4 linked regions of the Alligator mississippiensis genome follow. The protein of the gene in region 2 interacts with the protein of the main gene of each other region in a pairwise test. Links are inferred from orthologs where the notes say so. Each region holds a gene or a part of one and is shown on either strand. Other genes may lie near its edges. The genes, in order: PTPRF, PPFIA1, DTNB and PTPRD.

Region 1 (7,407 bases), on a different chromosome or scaffold from region 2:
ATATGCAATTTAAAGCATGTGTATAGCTCAATTTTGATGTAACGGTTGATCCTTAAGTTTTAGGCCTTGCGGTGTGTGTGCTTCCTGACACTTTTCTCACAAAAATGCTGCAGTTCTTTCCAAGAGAGGAAATCCTAGTTAGCTACCTTCCCACAAAATTACAAGTTTCTACTGGAAAGTAAGTGTATAGTCTGGAATTGAACACAAAAGTTTGTGGATGTGAAATGTGCTTCCATAGGCAAAACTGGCTAATCTGAGCAAAATGCAATGTGTTTAAGAAGTCCCCACAGACCACATTAAAGGTGTACATAAAGTAATGGACTGAACAGTATCACAGCTAAGTTCTCGCAGGGAAATGTCCCCAGATCGTCAAGAATGAGCTAACTATACGGTACCTCCTGAAGCTGTGTGTAAAGCATATTGTAATGTATAAACTACCACACAAATTACTGAATGCGGAGGGATGTAATGACCGTGTTTTAGGCCAAGTAGATGAGTAATTTTAGTCTGCTACATGCTACATATCAGCATTTCCCTTACCATCTTTGAACCAGCCTTTTTAAGTTGCATAATGGAAATAAGTAGTTTAACTCTTAGCCCTGGATTCTAAAAGGCACTTAAAAAAAAAAAACCAAACCACTGTGAAATTGTAATGCAGAGGTTTGTCCTTAATAACGTACTAGCAAGGCCGGATAAAAACTGCTGCCTGGTGGCATTTAGCTGATCCAAAAGAAAAAGAAAGCGAAAAAAGAAAGCTTCATGGGTTTGTAAGTTTACAATCCTATTATAAGACACAAGTCTAAACTTTTTTTGTTCTCATGCATGCCAGGCCAGGTTTGGCAATTTGATAAACAATAATGCTTTTGTTTAAGCCGGTTACTATGCTTCTTCCTATCAGCTGCCTGTAGTCTCTAACCATCAAATAACGTCTCTACAGAACCGAGGTCTTCTGAACCAGCTACGCACCAGTCGGAGGGGCTCTACAGCCCCCTGATCCGAGTGGGGAACCCACCCTTAATTAGGAAGTTCCTCACTTAGGATTCAAGAGCATAAGGAACAAACAGGCAGCAGCATTTTTTTAGACTATTTATACAGTGACTTCTATAAGAAACGTTTTGTGGTAGAAGTAATACTTAAATTGAGATCTATGGCTGAACGTTATCACAAGGATTGCACTTACTTGACAGTCTGCTATTAGCCAACTCCATTATCGCTATTTGCAGTTTTTAAATGTACAGATTCAGACGCAACTGTACAAAGCCTCCATTACAAGTGGATTTATAGAAAGCCACAGCCACAGCAATAATCATCCTCATTAAGCATCTCTTCCCACAGCCCTGCATTATGTGGACTCAAAGAGGAAAACATTTCTTCTCCGTTACCCACAAGCTTAGATCCTTCTCCTTTCTAATCACCAGCTCAGATAACCGTCATTGGCAGCAGCACAGGAGCTACTCACATTTTCCCAAAAGCAGTGTGATGAGCAAGAAAGAAATTAAAAATACCTGTACGCCTCTCAAGCCAGTCGCACAACGAGACCGGCACAGGAAGGTTTCTCCTTTGATTCCCTAACAACTGACATTTTCACTCGCAGCAAGCACGAGAATAAGACAACACAGCCATGGTTTCTACTACTTTGCTCAGAGCCACGTCTTTCCAAGACACATTTACGGCCAGGCGCGTAGAGGGAAGGGCAGATGGCAATATTGGTAACTCAGCTGAATTATAAAAGCCTGCCGAGCATAAGTGGTGCGCGGACTCTTCACACATACGTGGTTTTAACCCCCTGCATGTATGTTCATGGTGCATCACACTCCAGCCTCGGGCTGCATGCCCGAACACGGCTCCCCGGAGCCCGGTCGAGTCCAGTCGAGTCGGCGAGCGAAAGGCACCCGACCAGAAGCGCAGCGCGAGGCGAGGCGAGGCGACCGACCACCTCCCTCCCTCCCTCCCACACCTCGCACGACGGGTCCGGCCGGCGTAACACAGCGCGTACTTCTGGCGTACCGAGTTCAGCTTGCCGAGCGCACGGGGATAAATCACGGCGAGGTCTCAGACCCGCAGCCAAGCGCCACGGCAGAAGTAATAAAACCTGGATTAAACTACACGGCCTCCCACCGTCAAACCGCTCTCGTGAGCCAGGCGTTTTCCACGCGACCGTAGGGAGGGCCGCACACTTCACTTAGAAACCCGCGTCGGCAGCCTTCGCCCGCCTGCCCCAGCGACGCGTCGCCCACAGGCCAGGCGCCGGGTAATCCGGATTAAGTTGGTCACCTCGCTAACGCGTACTTTGAGAAACGAACAAAGGTGGTTAGGTTACGGAGAGGCCGCGTTCTCGTCGTCCTGCTCCCGGGAGCCGCCTCCCGACATTTCCAAACAGCAAGTGCTCAGCACAACTCGGGTCGCGGCTCGGCTCGGCTCGGCTCCTCCAGCGCCGCCGCCGCCGCGCCCGGCTCCACCAGCCCCGCACCGACACGCGGCCCGCTGCAAACTCCGCCGGGGGCTCGGCCCCGCCGCCAACAGGTGGAGGGGACGCCCCGACTGCCCGCCGCATCGCCCCGCACCGCCCCGCACCGCACCCGCGGGGGCTGCGCCGGGCCGGCCGGGGGGAGCGGCGCCCCCGGCCCGCGGCCATGGCGCCTCCCGCGCCGCGCCGCGCCGCGCCGCGCCCAGGTGAGGCCCCCCGCCCGCCCCGACACCGACACCGACACGGCCCGCCCGCCCGCCACACGCCGCGCACGGCCCCGCGAGGACGGGAGGGCACCTGCCGCCCCGGCCACGGGCTCCCCCGGCTCAACAGGCGGCGGCGGCGGAGCGCTCCCGGCCGGCCGGCCGGGCGGGCGGGCACTCACTCACTCACCGCGGCGGGGCGGGCGGGGGGCCGCATGCTGCCTCCAGGCTCCGGGCGCCGAGCCGAGCCGAGCCGCTTCTGTCTGCTTCGCTTCTCTCCGCTCCGCTCCGGTCCGAGCCGAGCCGCGCCGCGCCGCTCCTCCTGCCGCCGCCGCGGGGCCGCGCACTGCGCGCGCCCGCCCGCCGGACCGCCCCTGCCGGGGCCGCGCGCGCCCGCGCACCCGCACCCGCCCGCCCCGCCTCACCGGCTCCCGCGGCCCCGGCCTCGCCCCTCACACCCCGACCCCTCCCGGCTGCGCCGCTCCCCCGCGCGGGCCCGGGCCGGGCAGGGCCAGGCCCCTCTGCCCGCCATGCCGGTGCCGAGCTCCCCCGCGGCCCCACTCGGGTCGTGCCCTGCCCTGCCCCGCCCCGCGGGTCCCCGCCGAAGCAGCCGCGTGGGGCGCTGCCGCGGGACCCCGGGGGGGGCGGGCCGGGTCCGCAGGGCGGCGGGGGCCCACAGAGAAGATCCCCCCCCCACGCGCGAGGGCCGGCCGGCCGGGGGGAGCGCTGTCCCGTGGCTCGCGGCCCCTCGAGGTCGGCCTGGCCGCGTGGAGCCGCACGATTTGTCCGCGTGTTACCAAACATGTCAATCCCACGCGTGTCCTGGAGGCGCTGCAACGTAGCGCCGGGGCGTGCCGGGTGCTGGCCTGGCTGTGGGGACACCGGTCACGGAGGCGGCGTGGCTCCGAGGAGCGGCTCGAACCCGGCCGGGCGCAGCGACCGCGGCCGCCGTTCGCCGACGGACCGGGGCAGCTCCTGGCACGCGTGCGGGCGTGCTCGCCTGCACCGGTTGCACGCCGCGAAGCGCAGGTGCGACGTCAGGAAGGAGAACGCTCGTGACTGTTACCTGTTAAAAGCCCACGCGACTACCGTGTAAATCAGACTCGACGCGACGAATGCCCTGTCATTTATCTGCTGGGCGGCCCGCGTCTCGCGGGGGTGGATGAGGGACGCGTGACCCGGGGCGATCCCGCAGGGCGGGCAGCCTGCCACGCGCAGGCCGCGAGAAACGAGTTGGCGGGTTCGTCGAGCGCGTCGCGGGGGAACGTCCATCTCGCGACTGGACCTGACCGTCGTAGCGGAGCCGGCTGCGAGGACTAGCTCCCGCGGGCCGAGCTCGAGGCACGTGGCCGTAGCAAGTGTACGTCCTGTAAAAGTACGGCAGCGATCGGACCACTTCCGTCCCTGGGTCTCCCCGCTCTCCACACGCAGGCCAGAGGGCCCGGCACGCTGTACGTTGGGCCCTTTGAGGCGCTCTCGGACGAGCAGATCAGCTGCTGTTTCAGGCCCATTTCAACCGTGATCGACTACGGGCCTGTGTCTGTCAAGGCTTATTCCAGCCTTCAGATCTGTGCCCTTTCCGTATCCTCTTATCTCTTTGTTCTGGTTCCCCTCTAGTCCCTGGACCAAGAAGCAGTTTCTTGCATCGCTGGTAGCTCTTTTGATGCTTTAATCTGCATGGCTGAAGTTGTCTAAGTTATCTGCATGCCTTTGAGATGAGCAGAATTTCTTGGCTGCTGTAGATTAAGTGCATTAATTATTTTTGTGCTCGGTGGGTTATTGCTTCACGTGCCTCAGGTGTGGATACTGCTTTGGTGCGCGAGGCGTGAGCAGAGCTGGCGTCCTGTGCACGGCCTGGACATCTCAGCGCCTCCTGCGGCATCGAGCTTCCCGTCAGAGTTTCGGGTGCCAGTACATCTGTCTGATGCACAGAGGTGCTGTCTTTTTCTCGTTCTTTTCCGGATTGAACCAAAGTGATATTAGAAGGTGAAGAGTCTTTAGGGGAGGCGTAGCATTTTCTCCATCCCAGAGTCGTTGCCCCAAGTTTTTGAAGGAATAACGTCTCAAATTTCCAGCTGAGAATAATTTGATCCATGTTCAGTCTGGCCTCTACCTTGCAACAAGCACCTGACCTAGTCTTGTATTTCTGCCTCCTGGAGAGAGAGACTTTGATTCAGAAAGGCCTTGAGGTTTGAGATCTTTTTCCCCAAACTGGCGGTCCGCATACTGCTGCAAAACTGCAAAGCGGGAGGCAGGTTATCAGGACTTCCCTGCGTCCCAGAAATTCACAGTAATACGTGATCCACGTGTTGGACTCGACCTCAGCGAAGATGGTGTCAATACTGCTGAGTTAAAGATGATGACATCAGTCCACTTCCAAATGTTCCTCTGTTTTGGAAGCTTGCTGGTTGAGACGCTGAAATTTTGCTGTGGGCCAGCTATTTGAAGAGACCTGTAGGTGTTTAAATATCTTAAAATTCTGGCCTTCAGTGACTGTGGTTCATCGTACCTGGCGCATAAACTTCTGGTGCCCTAAGCCTCTACTAAGTCATGCTACAGACCCTATACATCGGTTCCAGGCACACAGCTGTCCCATGGAAGCAACCCAGCAAGGTTTTGCCTTCTGAAGCAAGAAGCCTCAGTATACAGTACAGCTGCCTCCAGATGTGGTGTTTTGGTGCATCTGGCTGCATGAAGCAGAGCGGTCGGTACTTGGAGGATTTGAAGAACGTAGGGTCAACCAGGAATTGTTCTTTGGTGCTCCATGACTAGATCATTATCCGATGGTGTAGGACGTGCCAGCTTGTCAACCCTTCAGATCCTTGAGGTGTATGTCATCTCAGTGCAGGGCGCCCTTCGATGCAAGGCAGACCGACAGCCGAGTTCGTCAGGGTCAGCAGAAGGGTCAGGACGGACACAGGGTCCTCAGGCACATTTCTGTCCTGGGGTGGAGGTGCAGCATGCTAGGTGCTGCACATGCAGAGACATAGGACAGTCTCAGGTGGATTCTGTCGGTTTGGGTCTTTCTTCACTTGGCCTCCTACGTACAGTGCCCGGTCACTTGCCTTTCTGCATCCTTGTTTGCCATGCACTTGGTCTGCTCTGTCTGTTAAGATTGCAAGTTTTCTGAGACAGTCCGTCTGACTGTGCAGATGTACAAAACCTGGCATAGTTGGGGCCAGATCTCTGCTGAGCTGCTTGATGCTATTAAAAATGATTACTATAAAGCCCTCCTTTATTCCTGTCTTGTTTTGTCTGGAGGGTGAGGAGTGGCTGGTGTATATGTATTTGTGAACGAGTCTTGTTTACAGTTAATATATTGGAATACTGTAATGTCAAGGGATCAGGTCACTAGCTTTTTAATACCACATAGGTCACTAAGTTGTTTCTATGGGACTGACCTACTGAAGTCTGGGAGATTGCACTATGTGTTTAACGGACATTATCCATCCGAGGCACTTCCTTTCCAGAAATGATTTTTCATGAGGAGGGTCTTCTTGCAAACTACTGTTTCCTGCCACTGCTTATGATGTCCGGTAATATCTGGTCTGATGCTTGACTGTGAGCAACTGCAAAGAAATATTTTCCATCTGTAGATCTCCCTTGCAGCACACCTTGAAGATGTGATCTTGACTCTGACTGCTCACCATCTTTTTAATATTTCCCCCAACACTCACTTCCTGTTGTAGACAGTGTTATGGGAAGTCTCTGTAATACTCCTGCGTATAAAAATAAACTTGCAAAGGTTTTTTTGTGACTGGAGGAGCTATGGATTTGGAGAGAGGTCCCTGAAGCATTTTAGTCTCCAAGAGTAGGAGTCCAGCCTGTGTTATCTGTGACAAGGGATAATTACTCACCCATGAGTCTGCTTCTCTGAAGATATTGCTTGACTGGAGAAAGGAAAATTGATGATCACAGTACGAGTGTGAAACTTGGGACACCTCGCTCAGCCACAGACTCTCTTTGTGACCTTAGCCAACTCGGTTAATCTCTCAACCCCTCGGCTCCCTCTGTAAAATAGGCACAAGAAATCCTCCTTTTCCCCACCACCTTTTGTCTGTCTCATCTGTTTAGCTAGTACATTTTGTGGAACAGGGACTCTCTTTTTCTATGTTTTTGGGCAGCACCAAGCACAATGGGTCTATGATCTTGATTTATGCCTGAAGACACAATCAGAAAAATAAATAGTAAGCCTAGCTATGAACTCCCACTCACCTGGCACGAAGCTAGGATGGGGTACGGTTGGAAACATTTTTCCCTGATAGTCTCTTCCTGGCATGTAAATATCCCGTGGGCATCTGTTAATGGGTACGAGCGCTCTGCTTCCTGCTGCAACAGGATGTGGTAAAGAGGGGCGCTGGAGCACGGACAGCTGGTATTGGCAGCAGGTGGAGCTGGCACTTCTTCAAAGGTCCAAAATCCGAGAGCTATGGGAGTGCTGGCCTGCCTCGTGCTAGACAGCTGCCGCCCCAAAGTGGGAATGCAGTCAGGTGCTCTCTTCAGAAAAGCAGAAATACAGGTGAGTAATTATTTCTTGTCACTGCCTGTGCTGCAGCTGTTCTGTGGACAAATGAGGCCACCAGGCCACAGTACAGTGAATCCATTGCCTTTCACCCACCAAAAATAAATTCAAAGAGCAATATAAATCAGAAAAGGGCTTGACCCCCATGGTGATTTAAGAAAAACCTCTTACAAAACCCAGCAAGCTGGCCTTCTACAAATCATATTAGTTACGGG
Region 2 (7,037 bases):
GCTTGCCCTGTGTCAAAGCTAGTGTCTCTTGAGTTTCTCTTAGTGTTTCCAGGAGACGATCCCTCTCTTCCAGCATAGACACCATTAACTGCTCAAAATGGGAATCAGCATCCGATTGTAACGGGGAGCTTGAACCATGGCCTCCATTTCCCCCAGAGGGAATCTCTGCCTCACTGATGGTTGGCATCACCTCACACATCATCTTGAAATTAAGAAATTAAATTCAGGCCATTAATTATTAGCAATAAAGTACAGAATACAAATCCAAAAACAAAAATGTTCATAAGCCTAGGGAGATACAATGATGTTTTTCCCCCCCAAGAGTGAGGCCTGTCCCTTGCATTCTGGGCAGGCTTACCCGAGAGTTTTCCCAAACGTGGGAAACTCGACTACACAGTTGCATAGGAAAGTGGGACTGCTTTCTTGCTTTTCCTGGCTCACTCCTTGATCTTTTGGTTAGGAGCAAACAAGACTAGGGGGCATCTGAACCCCAGGGTCTCTGGGCCCTGGGCTTGCATGTAGGATGCCTGCCAGAGTTTCGGGGAGTATCCGAAGCCCCAGACTGACGCGTCTGAGAAGGAAGATACTTCCCCAGCGGTAGAGCCACATGGACTTGAATGACTGAGCTCTGCTCAGTTGAAATTTGAAACTTGGCTTTTGAGATTTGCCCAAGTGAATTTGGAACTGATTTGGCCCTTGAAACAAGATACATAAAATGAAAAAAAAAAAAAAAAACTATTGAAGAATCTTATCTACACCACATACGTGTGTATCTGTAATACACCATCTGTTTAATCCCACCTGTGACAGCAATACTAGAAGCTAACCTAACCTAGATAAGACACCATGTTGTATGTGAAGAGAGAAGCAAAGCCTAAGACCAAACCTGAAACAAATTCCCCTGTGCCAGCTGCAGGAAAAACAACTGGGTTGTATGTTGGACAATATTAAAAGATAGGTTTTTCAAAGTGGGAGAAAATAATTCTCATTCATTCAGAAGTAAACTGGTCACTCTGAAAAGGGCATGTATACAGAGTGGGGGATTTCCCCCCTCTACAAATAGGACATCCCGACTTGCTACAGCTTAACCCTATGCACACAGCCAAACATCTATAGTTTACTGGATTTAAGGCTATATAAACCAGTGTCTTAGGTTTGAAAAATATTACTATTGCAGTTTTGTTACAGTATCACTTCCTACCAATGCCAACTCTGTTGAAAAGCTACACATCTACCACACTATTTCTGATGCCAATTTATAAAGGATGCATGTGCTTTGTTTAAAAAGTTGTTTGGACCTTTAAACAGTATTAAGCACGCCTCAACCCAAAAACAACAACAAAAAAACCCACAAACCACACATATTGAAGCCTATATCATACTTCTTTCAAACTCTTGATACTGCACTCCACCATCCTGGGAAGAGGCACTACTTTCAGCTGCCACCGAAGCCACAAAAATCTCTATTGGACAATTTTACTGCATGAAAATTAGCAACAGCGGATTTCTGCACCCGGATGCAGCCACAGGGAAAGCCAAGAGGTCAACCCGGAGAAAGTGAAAACGAAAAGAAAGGCTGTTCAAGGTCTTAAATACTAAACAAACAGGACTTGACTGCTAGCCAGCACGCTACATCAGCAGCTGTCAGATATAAAAAGAGGGACTGAGACACACGCAGAGAGTATGATAAAAATATAAACTTGGAAGTATCGTTGTTGTACACCCCACCATGCTTAGTAATGGCAAAAGCATAAGGCCTCATGCTGGAGGGATCCTACATTTTACAGCCTGGTTTGAATCCTGGGCCACCCAGACTTCAGAACCAAGGGAAGTTTCTGTCCTCCTGCATTTGAAAAGCAACGAAATACATAACCAACAGTACCACAGTGTCAACTGCCATCAACTTTTCTCACGGGAACTGAACAAACGATGGTTTATGAAGCTGCACGTGCAACTTTTAAACTATCCCTAACGAAAGTACGGTGCCTACTTCCTAATATTGGAGTTCCTAAGGCAGTTGTTAAACTTATTTGTGACAAGCAGAGCCCGCACTTCTGAATTAATGAGAAGCTCCCCGGGAAGGCCTGTCCCAAGCACCAGCACTGTTTTATACTGGGGCTTTTAAGCTGATCTGAGGCAGGCGCCAGCCACCCACTGCTCGCTGCTTTACCTTGGTCGATGAAACAAAGCGGCGTCACCGTGGGCCCAGGGTTTCGGCAGCACCAGGTCTCCCCCGCGGCTTTCTCCTCTCCTACTGCCGCTGCAGGAGCCGCGAGCCCCTGTAGCGGCGCGGAGCTGCCATCCAGCGCCCTGCAATATCCGTCCCGGCGCCCCAAGCCGGAGCAAGAGGCGGCGGAGCGCAGAGCAGGGCCCCCGAGTCCCCCAGGCACCAGCCCGGCCTCAGCTCCTCTCCTCCCCGCTGCCAGCCCTCGGCGCCGCCGGGACCATGGGCGGGGGAACGTGTCCGCTGCCGCCTCAGCGCCGCCCTCGCCCGCGGCTCCGGGCGGGGGAAGCAGCCGCAGCTCCTGGGCGCTGGGGTCGCAGCCGCGGGATCCTGCCCTTCCTGCCGCGTCGCTCACTCATTTATACCCCGGGCGCGGGGATGGCGGCGCCCGCGCCTCGTCCTCGCGGGCCCGGCTCCGGCTGCTGCTACCCTGGGGCGCTCCGCGGCGCGGGCCCCTCACCCGCACTCTCACCGCCGCCGCCGCCGCCGCTCCCGGCGTGCCCCGCGCCCGCAGCAATCACTGCGCGACCACAATGCACTGCGCGCCCCGCGGCTCGCGCCGGGTCCAGGCCCCTCCCCCACGGAGCCGAGACTCGGGCCAGCGGCAGCCCCAGAACGCTGGGCTCCAGAGCGCGGAGGGCTGCGCTACTGTGCGCGTGCGTGGGACGCTGCCCGCGCCACACACCCGGCGAGGGAGGAGGGGGACTGTCCTGCGCTCCGCTTCTGCCCACAACCAGCGCCTCTGAGGGGCGCGCTCTTGTTTTCCAGAGCAAAAAAAAAAAAAAAAATGTTGGCAATCAATTAGGTGTCACCGCCTTAACGCCAGCAGTGGCTGGAGACAATCCTACCACCCCCCTGCAGCCAATGGTAGTGCCCTCCACGTCCCGCGGCCAATGGTAGTGCCCTCCACCCTCCGCAGCCAATGGTAGTGCCCTCCGCCCCCCGTCCCGCGGCCAATGGTAGTACCCTCTGGTGTCGTGTCCTACCTCCTTCCCCCCAGGTAGTGGTAGCGTCCGACGGTCGGGGGCGCGGTGTAGGGGAGGGAGGAGGGTCTCACCGCTACTGTGCCCCTCCCCCTCGCAACTGCCCATGGGAGGTCTCTTCCAGCGCTGCCCGCCGCCCTCTGCTCCTCAGGCAGGCTGCAACCAGCAGCCTGGAGGGTGAGCGAGAGATCAGGACAGCCCCAGGGCTGGGGAGATCACACGAGTGTTCACTGGCACGAGGTTGGAGCCCGGCTGGGTTCAGCGGGGGCTGGTGATGGAGCAAGGAGCAATGGTCCCAAGTTGCAGCAAGGGGAGTTTAGGTTGGATATTAGGGAAAACTCTCCCACTACGAGGGTAGGAAAGCACTGGAACAGGTTCCCCAGAGAGGTGGTGGAGTCTCCATCCTTGGAGGTTTTGAAGACCTGGCTAGACAAAACTTTGGCTGGGCTAATTGACTTGGGAGATGTCCAGCTTTGAGCAGGGGTTGGACTTGATGGCGTCCTACAGTCCCTTCCAGCCCTCATTTTCTGTGAAAACACCTCGCCTATTTTCGAAATAGTGCTGTGGTGATGTTCTTGACACAGATATCCTTATGAAGATGATCCTGCGCTGCTCCCTGTGTTCACTTGCTCCCTCCTCAAAGGGAAAGCATGCCTAACTGTACTCCAACTCTGCCCTGGACCCAATGAACAATGGAATGACCCCCCCCCCGCCCCCGCAAAAAAACAAACAAATCTTTGCCTTGTTATAATGGTTACTCATTCCAGTCTTGGTAGCAATACCTCTACCAGCACAAAGCACCTTTATGCCAGTGAAACTGCTTTCATGTGGTCAGATGCACTGCCTTACAGCCCTAAGGCCTGCTTTACACGACAACGTTTTAGTAGCATAGTGTCTATGAGTAGCTACTTAAAATTAAAAAAGCAAGCCACTAATCTGATAAAGCAATGTCAGTAAATACCAGCATGTTAACAAAAAGTCCTTTCCTGCTATAGCTTATTGCCATCAGGGAACACACTTAAGCCATATCAGCAAAAGAACTTTCTCCAATATAAACTGCATCTCCACCAAAGAGCTGTCTGTACAGGGACTCCTCAGCAGCACCAGTCCCTCAGTACCAGAATGACAGTCTTCCAGTAAATAGGGAAGTCATTATTATAGGGACTGAGGAGATCCATAGACAACTGGTATTATAGTACACTGAAAGCTCTTTCACTTTGGTGGAGGGAGCTTATTTCGTAAAGCGTGGGGAACAGTGTTAGTCTTCTAATTCAAACCTCAAGTACAGGCTGATTGATACTACATGGTATTATTTTAAATATTTGCCTTCAGCAGTGCTGATTACTGATGGCAGCATTTTCAGACTGGTTCAGTCCTGTTAAACCCAGAGCCTCAATTCAGCAGAGGCAGCGGCAGGGCTGTTGGAATGCACAAAAGGAAACAGGGACTGCATGAAACAGCTTGTTACAGGTTTGTGTGAGACAAGTGACATTAAGCATGGTACTGAAATTAAGCATACACTGAGTCTGTCCCACAAAGAATTGTGATACTGGCTTTAAAAAAAAAATCTTTAAAAATAAATATGTAACGAGAGCATCTACATGTGCACTTTAATGTGCTGTAGCCTATTCTACTGCGCATTGAAGCAGCACTTAAAAACCATGCTAGTAAGCTAATGTGCAGTAAAATAGGCCAGCAGTTCCCAACCCCCGGGCCACAGCCTGGTACTGGGCTGCAAAGGGTTGGCTGCTGGTCTGCAGGAAGGTTGACTGCTGCAGACCAGAAGTGACTGCGGACCAGCAAACTGCAGACTGGCCAACTGCGGACTGGAAGTGACTAGCATACTCTGGACTGGCAGCCAGTTTTTATACTGAGTATAAAAAAGGGTTTGTTTCCTGCCCACAGTATGCCAAGTCACTGCTGGTCCGCAGTTTCCCAGTCCACTGTTTGCCGATCCTCAGCATAAAAAGGTTGGGAACCCCTGAAATAGGTTAGTGCACATTAAGCATCACCTAAAATGTGTGTGCTTGCACTACCATGCATTAGCACAACCTGATGTACATTTATTTATTACCTCATATTGGAGGTACTAAATTTAATATGCTTTAGGAAAATCACATTAATGCACATGTAGACATGCCCATTGTGTTCTTCATACCTGCCTTTGGTATCCAAGCCATAAAGGTGAACACAGGTTTCTTGAAGCTTTTCTCTGCAACCAAGTAGTTTAAAACCTTTTTAAAAATAACAGCTAAGATTTTCATGGAATCACATAATTCTGAAATTTGTGGCTTTACTAAAAGCACCACATATTGGGCCACTTCCTACAACTTACAAAAATCAGGCAACATTGGTCAGCACAGATTTTGTGTTGACTAATCCACAAACCAAGTTTCATTATCCAAAGTAATAAGATCTGGTTTTCTAATGTAGAAAAAGAGTAAATATTCAAGCTGAAACTAATTCATGTTATTCCTAGAAGAAAAGAAAACTGATTTTGCTAATTATACCTGTGCTGTCAAAATGATCTCAGTAAAACTTTATACATAATCATTATTAAAAGCACAGGTTTTAACGTAAATGTTGGAAAACAGTCACTTTTGCTTCTGATTTGCTTCAGATTTATTCCTTGGCCCCCATCCTTTAAGTGGGTCTGCACTGAAGCCCAATGATGCCAGAGGGGTTCCGTGTGAACACAAGCTTTACTTAGGAAGAAATAGCCAGAAGATCAGAACTCTTGTTATAAAACAGGGGTGGCCAACCTGTGGCTTGTGTATGTGGCATACAGCAGACTAGTTATGAGTGATGGCAAGCAAATAATCTAGAAGCCCAATAAAATTAAATGGGACTACAATGAATTAGTGGATTTTCTCCCCCAAGTTCTAGTTCTGGAACTGCCTCTATATAGGTAAACCATTGCACTTACAGGGAATTATTTGAAGAGTAAGCATCCAATTGTTAAAACCCCAATTAATATAAATGTTTTCAAATTAAAATATTATGGAAAAAATATATATTCCTATGTGGAGGCTATGAAAATATACTTTTAAAAATGCACTGTACATAGCTCTAAGCTTCAAAAAAATCTTATTTGATTAGACTGGAATTATTTGGGCTTGTATATTTTCCCTCCTGCAGGTTTTACCAGGAAGAGAAGAAAAAATAATCCAAAATCATCCCAATTTAAAAACTAGGAAATTTTTAAAACCAACAAATTTTTCTTCTACTCTGTTTTGCCCATGCTTGGAAATATTATGATAATTCTCCACTTGGATAATGAAAAGCTTTCACAAGTCCCTTTTTTGCCTGGACAAGGTTTAAAAACCACAAGGATAAGAATACTCAAACTGATCCCTGTCTATGGCTTACACCAGTGGGTGTGGCGCCAGCAGTGAATTATTGATCTATAGGCAGCCGTATAAGCAGCATGTGACATTGTTTTCTGTGCACCGCACCTGTACGCTTTAAGAATTCTGCCTATTCACAGTGGAAAGAAACATCCTATTCTGAAACGATTCAACATGTTACAAGGAAGACCGAGACATTGTGTTATCTTCTTTGGACTTTTGTCCTTTCTTGTTTTATTGTTTTCCCTAATGTAAACTGAACTTAAGTTAGACTGAAAGTTGTCCAGTTTTCTGTATGCAGGAAACACTGCAATACCCCCCAATTGGCAAAAGGTCCCAGGCACCCCAAGAACCCACAAGGAGTATTGCAACTGCTTTTCCCTTCTCCATTTTAAACTGTGAAGCAGCTGGCTTCACCAACATGGCTGCATACTGAACTTCCCCCCTCTGAATGGGAAGCATCAATATACAATTTAATGTGTT
Region 3 (7,061 bases), on a different chromosome or scaffold from region 2:
ATAGCCAATTATTCATATGATAGTATTCAACTTTTCCACACAATTCCTAACTTTTCTATGTTCAAGATGGTCCGTAACATTATACAGCTATCCTTAAAAAAAACCCCTAACAACAACAACAAAAAACCCCAAAAACAACCAACAAAAATAAGCTTTACATACCCAGGACATTCAAAGTTTAATTAAAAAGAAATATTAAGGTATATAAATACATCAGTCAGACTCCCAAACAACAAACTCTGTAACACAGTAAGGACAGAACCACATAAAAAATGTTTTAAAAAAATTATTACAGTTTGGACTAATATGATTTGGGATCACAAAAAACTAAAATAAGATCCTAATTGTATGGGGTTTTTTTGCCTGATGTCATTACATGACAACAAAAGTTTTCTACATCTCTTACCTGATAATACTAGTCTGAATTTTTCAAATGGGTTTGTAACATTTTTGGGGGGATACTTGAAACATCCATGTCCTTTTTGTTTTACTCTCCCTCAACTCAGTATTATGAACTCTGAATTTCAACTCCCTATTTACAAAGATTTGTCTGGAAATATATATGTATACATGTTTTGCATTACTGGCCTATAATTAAAATTGCATCCAAGTCCAGGTGTCCCAGCCTGCAGCGCGCATGCCACAAATGGCATGGGAAGCCTTCCTGTGTAGTGCACAGATCAGGGAGGAAACCAAGGAACACAACAGCAGATAGGACAGAGAATAGAAAGCAAAGGAACAGGTCAAGCAGGGAGCACAGGGCAATGGGAGAAAGCAGAGCAACAGATCAGTCAGGGGTAACAGATAAGGGTGACACTCAGGGTGGATGCAGGGCTTACTTTGTGGCACGCCTGACAAAGATATTTGTCCCCACCGCTGGAGATCAGGTGTGCTTCTAAGTAGCTAGGAGCCAACCGAACATGCAACGAGGGCCACCCCATGATGCCCCACCTTCAAAGCTGTGGGCAGGAAATGGAAGCTGGAAGAGGGAGGGAGAGACCAGCACAGGAGAGCAATGGCGGGGGGAGGCCAGCCACTAAGAGACAGAGCACCAGTTAGACAGGCCTGTTATAGATCACGGTAGCCAGTATCAGCAGTCACACTTTGCAGAAAAATTGAGAACATAAGACATGAAGAAAAGCTTCTCCATCTGAAACTACTAAGGATATTTTGGAGGGAGGTAGTCCAAGCTGAAATGTAGTCAATTGGTAATGCCGAGATTTAGCTTTAAACACTTGAAAACGGTACTTTCAGCAGCACAGTCCTACCCAAAAGGGTGCAATGTTGGGATAATGGTTCAGTTCCAAAGGGAAGAGTGCCACCTACTGAATCAACACTGTCCAGACCATCAAAGTTTTCTTTGCAGGTCTCCTATATCAATATTCATCAGGCCTAACCTTCCCTACCATGGATGTGGCTGCAGGCACTTTTGACATTCTACAAAGAATTTTTCACAGGTCTAGATGTACAAGTCACTGCTCTGTACTAAGCATTTGCCCTGGACGAATTGTTAAATATACATTATGAGACACTAACTCAATAATTTCGTTAATGTATCTGCACCTATGCGCATATATGTTTGATATCACAGGCTGGTTACAACAGTCAGCATTACCTGGATCACACAGGAAGCTTTCTAGGGACAACTTTCACTTTTCTATACACAATTTCCTCTTTGTACTTTTAAAGGCAACCTAAAAAAGGAAAAAGAAATGTTTTGTCCTCTATAAACAAGGTCCGCCATTTTCCCAGCTCACTTTTCACTCTGGAACAGCGGTTCCCAAACCGACAGGCTGCGCACGATACGACCTGAAGTACCGCCAGCAAACTTTTCAGTTCAAGCTTAAGTACCCCCCGGCACGTTTTTGTCATATAAAGTCATTATAATCAGTCTGTGAACAGGTACCACCGGCGGGCTGTCTGCGTTCGCGTGCCGCAGATTGGGAACCGCTGCTCTAGAAGTCTCACGAACGTTACGTCTGCTTCTCGCCACGGGACCCGGTCACGGCTAAGGTGAACCATAGCACGTCGGGCCGGAGGGGACCTCCCGGGGTCGCATCCAGTCCAGCTCCCTGCTCAAGGCAGGATCATCCCAGCCGCGTGTCCGTCCAGCCTGCTCCTCAAAGCTTCCAAGGACGGAGGCGCACAGCTTGTCAGGGCGGACGCGACCTCGGAGGATCGTCGGGTCCAGCCCCCTGAACCCGGCAGGGAAGACACGTGGGGTCAGGCAACCCCGGCGACGGGACCGTCCAGTCTCCACATCTGGACACCCCAAACGTGCAGAAGTGTTCCCTGACGTTGAGCCCGAATCGATGGTCCAGGAGCTAGTGGCCGTTACCCCCGGTTCTCCCCTCGCGTGCCCACTCGCCGAGCCCTCAACGTGGCCCCAGCGCGGCCGTGCGCTGCTACCAGCCCCCGCCCCCCCGCACCTCTAGCCGCCCGCTCTCCTGCCTGACCGCGCTCCTCCTCGGAAAGTTTCACCCCCCCACCCCCCGAAGAGGCTGCTCCCCGCCGCGCCCCGCTCCACCCTCTCCCGAGAAGCGGGGGGGGGGGCGCGCGGGAAGGCCTCAGGGGCGGCTCGGAGGTTTGTATGACACCCAAACCGCGAAATACAGGTGGGGAGCCCCTGGCCTCGCCGCCGAGGGCGCAGGGAGATGCTCTCTTCCAACGCGCCCTGCCCTTGGCGCGCGGGCAGACGCTTCAAGGCGGCCCCGGCAGGTCCCGTCCCTTCCCGTCCCGCCATGGTGTTGCACGACGAGAGGGCAGCTGGACGGGGCGGGGGGAGGGGAGGGGCAGGACGGGTTTGGGGGGGGGGCCCAGGCCGCAGCCCCCACCCCCCCTGGCGCAAGGGGACGCCCCGAGCCCGCACCGCCCCGCCCCGCCCCGCCCCACATCCGCACTCACGTTCCCCGGCCGGCGGCCCGGGGGCAGCGGAGCAGGCGGCCGCGCCGTCCCCGTCCTCTGCGGAAACCGCCTCAGCCGCTCCGCTGCGCTGCGCTGCGCTCCAACGGTCCCCGGCCGCCTCGCGGGCTCCAGCCAATCGCGGCACGCCTCCGCAGGGGCGCGCGCGCACCGACCAATCCGGGGCGGCGGCTGCCTGCCCCTCCCCGCCCCCTCTGCCCGCTCTAGCCAATCCGCCGGCAGCGCTGGCCCAACCCCTCCCCCTCCTGCTCCTCCTCCTCCTCCCTCCCGCCCCGTGACGCTCCTCCGGCCAATCGGCGACGCGCTCCGTGCGTCGCGTGCGTTCCCGCGAGCCCCCGGCCAATCAGCGAGCACCTCCATGCGCCCCTCGCCCCCAGCCAATCATCGGCGGCCGCCCCTCGCCCCCAACAGTCGCCTGCGGCCCCCTCGCCTCCTCCGCAGCGCGCAGGCGCAGTAGGGGGGCGTGGCTCTGAGGGGACAGGCCTTGAGTGTTTGTGGGCTGTGAGAGACGTGGATACCTATAGATGTACACGTATAGAGAGATACATACATACATACATACATAGAGGGATATACATGTATGTAAAAGACCTCAGTCAGTCACATCCGCAAAGTGCAGAATTTAAGAACAACGCCAAAAACTGTGAGATTTGGCAAGTGCTGAAATGGAGGTTTCCCCTCAGCTTCCAGGCCGTGGGGGCCACGTCGTGCTTCACCGAGCCTCTCCCACCTGCCTCCCGGGGTCGCGCCAGGACCCGTCTGAGGGCAAAGCGCGCTCTAGGCCTCGGCCTGCCTGCGGACAGCTCCGAACTGGGCCCGGCGCAGGCTGGCGGGGCGCCAAGCCCGGGGGTCAATGTCGCCCCTTGCGCAGGACGAAAGAAGACGCGCTTGCTGCCTAAAACGAGGCTTGACGGGCAACCGGGAGTCCGGATCGCGATGACGTGCGGAGGCCCTAAGCGACATCCCTCTGAAGAGGCCCCGCACAATAAAAATAATCCACGAAATCGGATCTTCGTGACATTTTAAGATGAATTATTGTTATTTCTGCACAGGTTTATGACCTCGGTATGAAAAATAACTGTGGCGCCGTGAGGACTACGTGCATTAGCGTTCTACGGATGCGTGTTTGAGTTTGAGCCCTGCCCGCGGCAGCTTTCGGAGCACGTTACACACCTGTTCGATAGCCTCTGCCCGCAGTTTCCCCAGCTACGTTTTGCAAGTTTTGCCTCAAGGCTAAAACTGATGGTCCGACGGGTATTTGTAAGCACTTTCAAACCCATTTGCAGGCTCCAGTTTCACTCTAGAAGTAGCGTTGAAGACATAAGCATTAAATAGATGAGGATAAAAGCCTCAGGTAAGTATTTGTATTTTTCACACTCTTCTTGAACAACGGGGCCAAGTGAGGGAAGGAATTAATCTCGTCAGATGTGGCAGGAGGACTGATAAGTCAGACCAGTACACAAGTGTTCAAAAGGATATGAAGAGGGGCAGAGCGAGGTGTGAGGACTTCATTTCTGCCCCCACACCTGTATGTTGCATTTCAGTCCCCCTTCCAAAAGCTGAAGTGCCGAGACCAGTGAGGAATGGGAATGGGAACGTGGCAGGCACTCGGTGCTGAGATGGAGCGAGGGGCTGCAAACGGGCATGTCAATTGCCTGATGGTACACAATGCTTAGATCACAGCTGGGAACTGAAAAAGGGGAAATCTGATACAGGGCCCAAACACAGAATGAAAGGCAGCACAAGAACTCCCATTGAAACGAATGATTCAATTCCTGCGTCCCTAAGCAACTTCTTCATTCTGTTTCCATTTCCAAAGGGGCGTTATTCAGGAGAGAACAAATCCCTGGAGTAACTGGGCCACTTCATGCTGGTTTGAGCCTCTGATGCTGCAGATGTAAACGTAGAATTCCTTTATGTGCTAAGGCAAGATTTGGCATAGGAATTTTACAGATCCAGCCCCAGCTGGTACGTGTCCTAAAATAGCACCATCACTTTCTCATGGCTCCTTCAAGTTTAACAGGAAAATGGATCATGGAGGAGAAAGGTCTGGTTGGGTGGTCACAGAGCAGCACATGGGTGCTGGAGTGGTCAGAATCACGTGTGGTTGTCATCAGCAGCAATTCCTCGATTCAGTGATGATCTCTACCATGGCTCATTGACGGGTTTGAGGTGACATAAGAGTCCAGTGCTTGAGCCACAAATCCATCCACAGAAGTTGCAGGTCTTTCCACAGGGGAGAGTAGGCTGCAGGCAAGGATTTCTCTCCTTTTCCTTTCTCTGCACTCTCTGCTTTGAGAGCAAAAAACTTTACCTCAAAGTGGGCTGCCACTTGGTTGAGGTTAAGGTGTCATTGGGGTCAGTTGGCAATCAGCTCCTTCCAGCTTTTGATGTCAGCTCCTTACTGAATCATTCCCAATGATTATTGTTAGCTCCAGCAGGCAGAGGAAAGTTCGCATTGTACAGGTGTTTTCTTTTCTGGTTTTCTGAAATCTAAATTTGCATTGCCTTAACTTGGTATTTCTTGGTCTTGAGAGGTTTTAGTCCATCACGTCACATCACAGTGGCAACTTCATAGTTTCATAGTTGGTTGGGTCAGAAGGGACCTGAGCAGATCATCAAGTCTGACCCCCTGCCATGGCAGGAAAAAGTACTGGGGTCAAACGACCCCAGCAAGGTGTTCGTCTAACCCCCTCTTAAAGACCCCCAGGGTAGGAGCCAGCACCACTTTGCTAGGAAGTTGGTTCCGGATCCTAGCTGCCCTGACTGTGAAGTAGCGCCTCCTGATGTCTAGTCTGAATCTGCCCTCTGCCAGCTTGTGACCGTTATTTCTAGTCACTCCTGGTAGTGCTCGGGGAAACAGGGACTCCCCCAATGCCTGCTGGTCCCCCTGACAAGTTTGTAACAGGCCCCTAGATCCCCCCCTCAGCCTTCTCTTGTGGAGGCTGAAGAGGTTCAGGTCCCGTAGCCTCTCCTTGTAGTGCCTGCCCTGCTGCCCCCTGACCATGCAGGTGGCCCTCCTCTGGACCCTCTCCATGCTGTCCACATCCCTCCTGCAGTGCGGTGCCCAGAACTGGACGCAGTACTCCAACTGCGGCCTGACCAGTGCTGCATAGAGGGGGAGGATCACCTCCTTGGACCTGCTCGTGATGCATCTGTGGGTGCACAAGGTGTGGTTGGCCTTCCTGACCGCGTCCAACACTGTCGGCCCATGTTCATTTTGGCATCAATAATGACTTCAAGGCCCTTTTCTGCCTCTGCACTGACGAGAAGGGAGCTCCCCAGCCTGTAGGTCTGCTGCTGGGTCTTCCTCCCCAGGTGCAGCACTTTGCACTTGTCAGTGTTGAAACCCATCCTGTTCTCATCTGCTCACCCCTGTAACCTGTCTAGGTCTGATTGCAGCCTATTCCTCCCTTCTAGCATGCCCACATCCCCCCACATCTTAATGTCGTCAGCAAATTTGAACAGGGTGCTTTTTACCCCCTCATCCAAGTCGCTGATGAAGATGTTGAACAGCGCGGGTCTGAGGACTGATCCCTGGGGGACCCCACTGCCCACATCCCTCCGGGTCGAAAACGACCCGTCCACCACCACTCTCTGGGTGCGACCCTCCAGCCAGTTAGCGACCCTATTGACTGTGTAGGTGTCGACGCCACAGTCCCCTAGTTTTTTAATGAGAATGGGGTGAGAGACGGTGTCGAAGGCCTTCCTGAAGTCCAGAAAGACTACGTCCACTGCTACCCCTGCATCTAAGGATTTTGTGACCTGGTCGTAGAAGGCCACCAGGTTGATCTGACAGGACCTGCCTCTAATGAACCCATGTTGGTTGCCCCTAAGCATAACCTCCTCTGCCGGCCCCTCATGGACATGCTCCAGAATAATTCCATCAAAAAGCTTACCCAGGATCAAAGTAAGACTAACGGGCCTATAGTTTCCTGGGTCCTCCTTCCTCCCTTTTTTGAAAATGGGAACCACATTGGCCCTTTTCCAGTCCTCTGGCACCACCCCAGAGCACCACGAGTGCTCGTAAAGCCATGCCAGGGGTCCCGCAATGACTTCTGCCAGTTCCCTCAGCACTCTGGGGTGGAGATCATCAGGACCAGCTGATTTAAATACGTCCAGTCCCTCCAGAAGTCCCC
Region 4 (7,471 bases), on a different chromosome or scaffold from region 2:
ACATAAACATATCTGTACATTTTATAATTTTGTCAAGTTTATTTCACTATTTGCAAAGTTCTTGCTTTCTATCAGCTCCTCAATATTTGCAGGGTGGAACTAAATCAAAGCTTACTCTAAGTTAGTGGATTGCATTTACTGACCTGTTCTCATCCTCACTGAAGGTTGTGCTAGTAAACATCTTTAGTAGTGACTCCTAAAATGCTTAAATGGTCTGTTCTCTATTTTAGCCAGTGATGTCTTAGTTTTTCTCACTTGCTACAATGTTTAGAACTTGTAGAATAAAAAATACACATTCCCAAGTTATGACTAATAAAAAGGTTTTAAAAAATCCAAGCCATACAAAGCAGACTGTAAGTAGTAGCTAAGTATTATTTAATTCACTACATCAGCCACTTTGAGATACAGCCTTGATCTAGTCTCTTTTTGTAGTCAAGCATCACATTGTCTGTTCACTGTCACTTTATTCCATAAAGCCAAATGCAACAAAATGCATTATCTGTCAAAATTGTCCTTAAACAGTTTTCTGAATTAAGTCAAATTACTGTGCAAAATTGTACCGTACTTTTCTAGTATACTTTTACACTATATAATAATATTAAAGCAGCAAACCCTATTTGACTTTATCAACTGTAACTGTAAGCAAATGCAGGTATACAGCACTTTATTAGTAAGAATTCCTACAGTAAGCACACGTTTGAGGAATTAATCATTCATCCCCTGCAGACTGCTTATATATTTCATCAGGCCATTATCTGATCTGAATAACAAGAACAATTGCATAATAAAACACATTACTGCTGACACCAGCAACTTTATTCTATCAACTTGAAGATGTAACTATCTCTGTTTCAAGGAAGGCAATAAAGATTTTTGAAGTCCTCTGTTGTTTCCTTTGAACTACACTGTCCTGATTTGACATTCTCTTGTATTAATAATAATGATCAAGATCATATATATGATCTAACATAATACGCACAAGATTTAATTTTAAGGACTTTAACTCTGGTCATTTCCCATAGCATGTAATAATAAGTTACTGCGCAAGAAATATATATACATCAAGTCATTTTTTATAAAGATCGTTAAATATCCCCACAAGAAATTCTATATTTGCACATATTTATAGAATGTCCCAAAAATGGAAAAGTAAAGACTAGTCAGCAAATGAATAAAGCTGTACATGTGTTGTCATTGAATCCAAACCAAAGAGCATGTTTGTCTCTTATACTTATGGAGTAAATATTAATATTAATAGTTTGGCAAAAGAATAAAAAGGACCCTATATTAAACACTCTACATCACATGTGGCATGTCTGGGGATTGCCTTGTGCTACTATGATCCTAACCTAATAAACTTTTATCCATGATGTCTCAAAATGCTTCATGCATGTTAGCTGGCTACATCCTTTTAATCCTTTCCACACAAATTCATCATAACAGTGAGCAGGGTCTAAATGTTAGCTATTTCTAGTATTAAAAAAAAAAGAAAATGCTTCATCCAAGCTAAAAATAAGTACGTAGCCATGAAACAATAGGACGTCTATGTCATCATATAATATACTGTTATTTTTGTTACTTCCCAAGGTTCAGAAGTTCTTTAGACAACATTTCCCTGCCATAATGCTTCCATTAGTGTCATAAAGAGGGCCGTGATGCAATAGGTAAGTTGCCACTAGTTCACCATCCTGGGAACTTTTATGTAGACCCTGTCATTATTCCTAGTGTGGAGTTTATAGGTAGCCATAGGCAACTGTGAATTTTATTCTACTACTGTACATCTTTGGTATTACAGTCTGTATTACGTTTGTGTCCAAAATCAGATCCGTCTTATTGGCCCTCTTGTCACCATATGCTCTCGTTTGATTACTGAACAAATAAAACCATCCGATTTCACACTAGTAAACTTGCACTTTTGCAAACAGCCAATTGCTGCTACAGGCTCCAAGTTAAAAAACTAAAATAAATGGCATTAAGATGCATCATAGACTCAGGCTGGGGTGCTTGACAAAAAACACATTTGAAAAACATAGCCGCAGTCTTATAACTTTGAAAAGTAATGGGACTGAAATGCCTCCTGATTAGAGAGCTGACGGGAATAATCCACAACAGAGTCACTTTTGCTGCTGCACCATTTAAATAAAGAAAAAAATTTAAAAAAAGAAAAAAAAAGAGAGAAAGTGCATGATGTGACATGGGAAATAAGGTGTCAGGACCCTCCTGCACACCCCCCCCCCCCCAATTGCAGTCCACCCTGACAGGACAGAGAGGAGTGCAAGAGGGATTCAAATCCAAGTCCATTTGGCAGTAATAACAGAAAGAAAGAAAGGAAAAAAAAAAAAAACCCACGCTGAAATGCTATTGATTCCTTCCAGTGCATTCAAAACAAACTGACTCGACTCTTATTTCTCCTGACGTGACACAAAGGTTTTATTTAGAGATTACCAAACCCTCGCTGGTGCCTTCCAGCCTCCTCACCCCCCTGCCCTGCCCTGCCCTGCCCTTACCTCCCGGCGCCAGTGCCCCCGTGCCTGCCCGCCGGCTGCGGGGCTCGGGGGCCGCCAACGCCGGCCGTGGATGCACTGTCCCGGGAGGGCTGCCGCGTGCGAGCGCTGCCGGGCTCCGCTCGTCTCTCCCCCTCCCTGGTGCCAGCCACCCGCTTGCCTTAAGTTTGCCCTATGAGCTCTACCCCGCCATGCAGCCTCTACTCCTCCATGCCTCCGTGCAGGGAGGGCAGCCGGCAGCTCGGCTCCAGAGATCGGGGTGGGCAGAGGCACCCACCGCCCGCCTCCCCTCAAAAAGGGGCAAATAACCCGCGTCTCCCGGCGCAGCATCACCTTTGGGCTCCGGGGGCTACGGCCCCGCGCGGGAAGGGGCTTCCCTTCGTCTCTGCCCCCGGCTCCTCTCCTTCCTCTCGGGTGAAGTTGCACGAGGCAAGTTTCCTTGCCCCGCGGGCACGTCCTTCCCGGAGCAGCCGCCGGTCTCGTGCCCCCGCCCCGGCAGGCGGTGCCCTCGGGGAGCCGCGTGCCCCACCTCCGCCGCCCGCCCGGGCTCCACGGCAGGGACCACCCCCCTTCCAAAAATAAAATCAAAGAAGATAAATCCTCCCCCGCGCAAAGCCCCGGCGCGGGGCCGGGAGGAGCTACCTGCAGCGGCCGCGGCGGGGGCAGGAGCAGGAGCGGCTCGGCTCGGAGGTGCGCGGGGAGCCGGGCGGAGCGCGGGAGCCCGGAGCCGGCGCCGCGGTGCAAGTGAAACACTCGCGCAGGCTCCGGCTCGGGGCTGGGCGAGAGGAGGGAGATGATGTGGGGGGAAGCAGCAGCGGCGTCTACACACACACATGCACGCACACGCGCATCCCCACCGGCGGCGGCTGCGGCGGCCCCAGCCCCAGCCCCGCGCTCACCTGCATTTCCTTAACGAGCCACTTGATGGCTCGAGCCGCGCTGCCTCCCGGGGCCCAGCCCCGGCCCCAGCCCGCAGGGGAGTCGGGGGCGCTGTGGCGGCAACTTGCCTCCCCGCGCTGGCCTGAGCCCGGGTCGCGGCGGGCCCTACCTACCTACCCACCCACCCGCGCGGCCGGCTGCAGCTGCTGGCTCCCCGCGCCCCGCACGGCCCGGGCTCAGGCCGAGGGGGGAGGTCGGGGCACGCACACACCTACCCACTCAACTCCTCGCCCGAGCGAGGGGGATGTGTGTGTCACAGAAAGTGTCAGCGGGCAGGTGTGTGTGTGTGTGTGTGTGTGTGTGTGTGGCTGCGGGGGTGAGCGCGCGTGTGGTGCACGTTCAACAACCCCGCGCCACACAGAGCGGGACCCGCTGCCCACCCCCTGCTCGGCATTTGAGGCCAAAGGAATAGCCGATCTTCCCGCTATTAATAATAATAAACCTCCTCCCTCCCTGGGAAAACAATTAATAATGCATTAAGATAATGCCCCTTGGAAGCCACGGGGCCGGCAAGAAGCAAACGGGGAGAGCGGCACTTAGCGCAAGTGCGCGGCGCGGCAGGGGACGAGGCTGCCCCGGGGGAGCACAGCCCCCGCCCCCCCGGGCCCAGGGGCGCGTCTCTCCGGGCTGAGCGGATCCTGGCCTGGCACCCCTCGCCCACCCCCACTGCTTCCACCGGCGGGTTAAGCAAAGCATTTGGCCCTTTCAGTGTTTTCCCTTCCGTCCCTCCCCTGACGATACTTTGTGTGTTTTAAATAAAGATTTCATTCTGCCAACCCGCAGGAAGCTTTTAACAAGATGCAGCTGAGCGTGTCGATATCTTCTATCTTTTTCCTGCTGCTCCGGCGTGTACATCAACTCCAAACCCGGCTCTCCTCTTCTCCGCCTTGTCCTGTGGCAGCTCGGCGGGGCGGCAACGCTCAGCTCCGGAGCTGGGGGGGGCTCAAAGTCATTTCCAGCAGGGAGTGGGGCTGCAAATCCTAACGCCATAGACTGAGGGGGCCCCACGGCTCCCCACTCCCTGGGGAGTAAGGAAGCAAGGGCAAGGACATCTGCATTCCTTTACTATTACTTATATATGTATGCATGTAATACTGTATTACATATGTATATTACTATACTATGTCATACTATAAGTAATAGTATGGTATAATTATATATACACTATATTATTACTTATAGTATTGTGTGTGTATGTATGTGTGTGTGTGTATATATATATACACACACACACACACACACACACACACACACACACACACACATGTAACTACATTTTTAAGAGTGGCTTAATATATAATATACAATATAATAGATATATATGTAACTATGTTTTTAAGGGTGGATAATATATATAACTACATTTTTAAGAGTGGCTAGTCAGATCTTTCCTGGAGTAGATCATATCAACATTTAAATTGCAACAGGATTTGGAAATGCAGATCAGTTCTTCAGGTCAAGAAGTCTCTGCGGTTTGCCTCCTGTTGGGAGGACTGTGCACATGTGCACGCACACACCCATGGGCAAATGATTTTCACCAACTCAGAATGGTTTATTAAAAGGCTGTATGAAAAGAAAGTCTTTAAGTACAAAATAATACTAATGAGGATAATAATAATAATAATGCAGATAATAATGAAGACAAAGATGGACAACAATAATAAAAATACTACTACTACTAATAATGCTAATGAAGATAATAATCTCCATTAAATGCAACTTTATTTGGCATGTCAGCTACCTGCCACTGAGCTTCTAAAGCAAAGCTGCTATACATGGGACTAAGGCACTTCCATTTGGAGACACTACCACCCCAGCCCCTAGCTGTTCAGTTCTTGGTTGCAATCACCTGCTTATGCCTGGCTAGCAACACCTCCTGAGGCAGCACACAGCAGCAGGTTCAATCCAAACCAGCAATACAATGCAGGCCCAAGACGCTGCAAATTCATAATCAAAACAGAGGAGTCTCAGCCAAAGCCTGTTTGCTAACCTGGTTTTCAATCAGCAGGGAGGCGTGATCCACTTGCTTGCCTGATGCACTCATTTCACCTTGGACAAGGAAACGCTGCACAGTTTTCCAAGCAGTGACAATCTGTCCCAGCTGGAATGATAAATACAGGGATTCTCGGTAGGCTGACAAAGCATTCAAATGCGTACACCTCCTCTGCCTAAGGCCGGGTGCTTTAGAGGCAGAGGTACTTAGGAAATGATCTGATCTATATTTTTGCAGGGTCATAATGAACCATTTAGGTCAGGATCCTGCATTCCTCAAACATGCCAGAGTTCTGCTGAATTCAGTGTGCATTCACAAAGCAGAAAATGGCCCTGAATAGGTTAGGAGCTCCACCTGTGTCCCAGCTCCCGATTACAATAGGTCAGGATCTCTCCTCAAAATGTAACAGAGGAAGCAGTTCCACATAACTTTGATCACTCAAAATACTAAATGATGAAGATACGGGGTTTAAAAAAAATAATGCAAAGAGAAAAATCTCTCTTTCTCCTCTGCACTGTAAAAGAAAAACCTATACATATATCTTTTCTTAGACAGATTGCCTGCAAGTAGCAATCATGTGAAACAAATCAACATAATATGGATGCTTTCACCTGAGTAGGTCGCTTGCCAGTTCTATATTCAATTATAAATAAATATGCTCCCATTTACTCTAATAAAGTTGCAGATGTCCTGAGTTTAATATACAATACAGGAATGTAGTGTAGAACTGTTTCATAAAGTATTATTATACCTTAAGTAACTTAAAACCTACCTCAAATATGATTTTTTTTTAAATTTCATTTGACCAGAGACCTATTTTTCTTGATTCCCTATTTTTCTCAAATATGGATCTATTTTCCAGCCCAATATGCGTTCTCTCTCTATTTCATTCCAAGCTTATTTATGAAGAATAGCTTGTACCATTGTAGCACCACGATATGCAGCAGCTTTTACTTATATCAAAGTTCTGTGCAGTGTACTATGTTTAGGAATCATATTACCTGCCACTGAAATGCAGCCGCTATTCTGCATCAAGAACATTACACAATGATTTACCCGATTTGTAAAGGCTAAGATGAAGTCAGCATTACAAAGTATCATAAAAGAGGGAGAAGGGAACAGTGGAGAGGGGGTAGATGAAACTGTTTGGGGAACACAGTTTCTGAAAATCACATGGAAAGCTAAATAAAATTATGGCATTTAGAAAATGGGGAAAAGATTAATTTAAAAAATAGTAAAAAAATATCACTTTTCCAGGGGAGAAAAAAGTTCCAGATTTCAGTGCTTGCCAAATCTTATTATATCACCTGTCATTTGAAATAGATAAACAAAATTCACCCTAATGGCAATGTTGTACCTATGACACTCCCCCCTCCCCACCCCTCCAAAGATACCATAATAATGGTGATTTGGGTACCAGCATTTTATAAACCAGAGTAGTAAATTTGCTGTCTTACTTGTCATCAGCACTTTTTTAGACATATTCTACTTCATTTTCTTTTGACCACTGTACCTTTCAAAAGTATGGCTGAGGTTGGACATTTTATAAATAGTGGATATGAAGTTAATGTAAATGAAAAAGGAAGACTGGGAAAAGTGCAAACATAACAGTTTCAAGATGCAAAATACCAGCTTATTTTATGTCTGCCTTTAGGGATGTGTTGGCACTTACTTTTCTTTTTAAAACTGACTTTATTTCTCAGCCCTAATACATTTTGTGAACTAAGAGCTCCAAAGGGAAATGGTAGAAACCTCAGTTTATGGAATACTTAAATGAGGCTGTGCAAATGGGGGTTCTACAGTGACACCCATGGGATGGATGGCAAGTGGCAGGAACATTCCTTATGAAGCTTCTTCCTGAATATTTGGTCAAGAATAGAGATTGCTATTGCTGGAGTGAGCTGCAGAGGTGGGTCATGAAATCTCCCCATGGATTCTGCAGAAGGCCAGTGCAATGCACACAGGCCACCTGGGAAACACTGTTTGTCCATTATTACTGTAGGTCCACAATTACACGGTCCCAGGACTGGGTACC

What was found.
Region 1: the proteins of PPFIA1 (region 2) and PTPRF interact in a two-hybrid assay, tested with the Homo sapiens proteins (2 studies listed by BioGRID). The link is inferred for Alligator mississippiensis from reciprocal best matches to the Homo sapiens genes PPFIA1 and PTPRF.
Region 3: the proteins of PPFIA1 (region 2) and DTNB interact in binary tests that used the Homo sapiens proteins (3 or more experiments, as listed by UniProt). The link is inferred for Alligator mississippiensis from reciprocal best matches to the Homo sapiens genes PPFIA1 and DTNB.
Region 4: the proteins of PPFIA1 (region 2) and PTPRD interact in a two-hybrid assay, tested with the Homo sapiens proteins (2 studies listed by BioGRID). The link is inferred for Alligator mississippiensis from reciprocal best matches to the Homo sapiens genes PPFIA1 and PTPRD.

Annotation. Positions count from the first base shown.
Region 1 is NC_081828.1:625,409-632,815, reverse strand, and holds the start of PTPRF (receptor-type tyrosine-protein phosphatase F), read right to left. Parts: upstream 3,017-7,407; 5' UTR 2,861-3,016; intron 1-2,860. UniProt on the Homo sapiens protein: Possible cell adhesion receptor. It possesses an intrinsic protein tyrosine phosphatase activity (PTPase) and dephosphorylates EPHA2 regulating its activity.
Region 2 is NC_081825.1:215,795,310-215,802,346, reverse strand, and holds the start of PPFIA1 (liprin-alpha-1), read right to left. Parts: upstream 3,007-7,037; 5' UTR 2,171-3,006; intron 203-2,170; coding exon 1-202. UniProt on the Homo sapiens protein: May regulate the disassembly of focal adhesions. May localize receptor-like tyrosine phosphatases type 2A at specific sites on the plasma membrane, possibly regulating their interaction with the extracellular environment and their association with substrates.
Region 3 is NC_081824.1:1,020,931-1,027,991, forward strand, and holds the start of DTNB (dystrobrevin beta), read right to left. Parts: upstream 3,019-7,061; 5' UTR 2,905-3,018; intron 1,695-2,904; 5' UTR 1,616-1,694; intron 1-1,615.
Region 4 is NC_081826.1:185,283,847-185,291,317, reverse strand, and holds the start of PTPRD (receptor-type tyrosine-protein phosphatase delta), read right to left. Parts: upstream 3,014-7,471; 5' UTR 2,838-3,013; intron 1-2,837.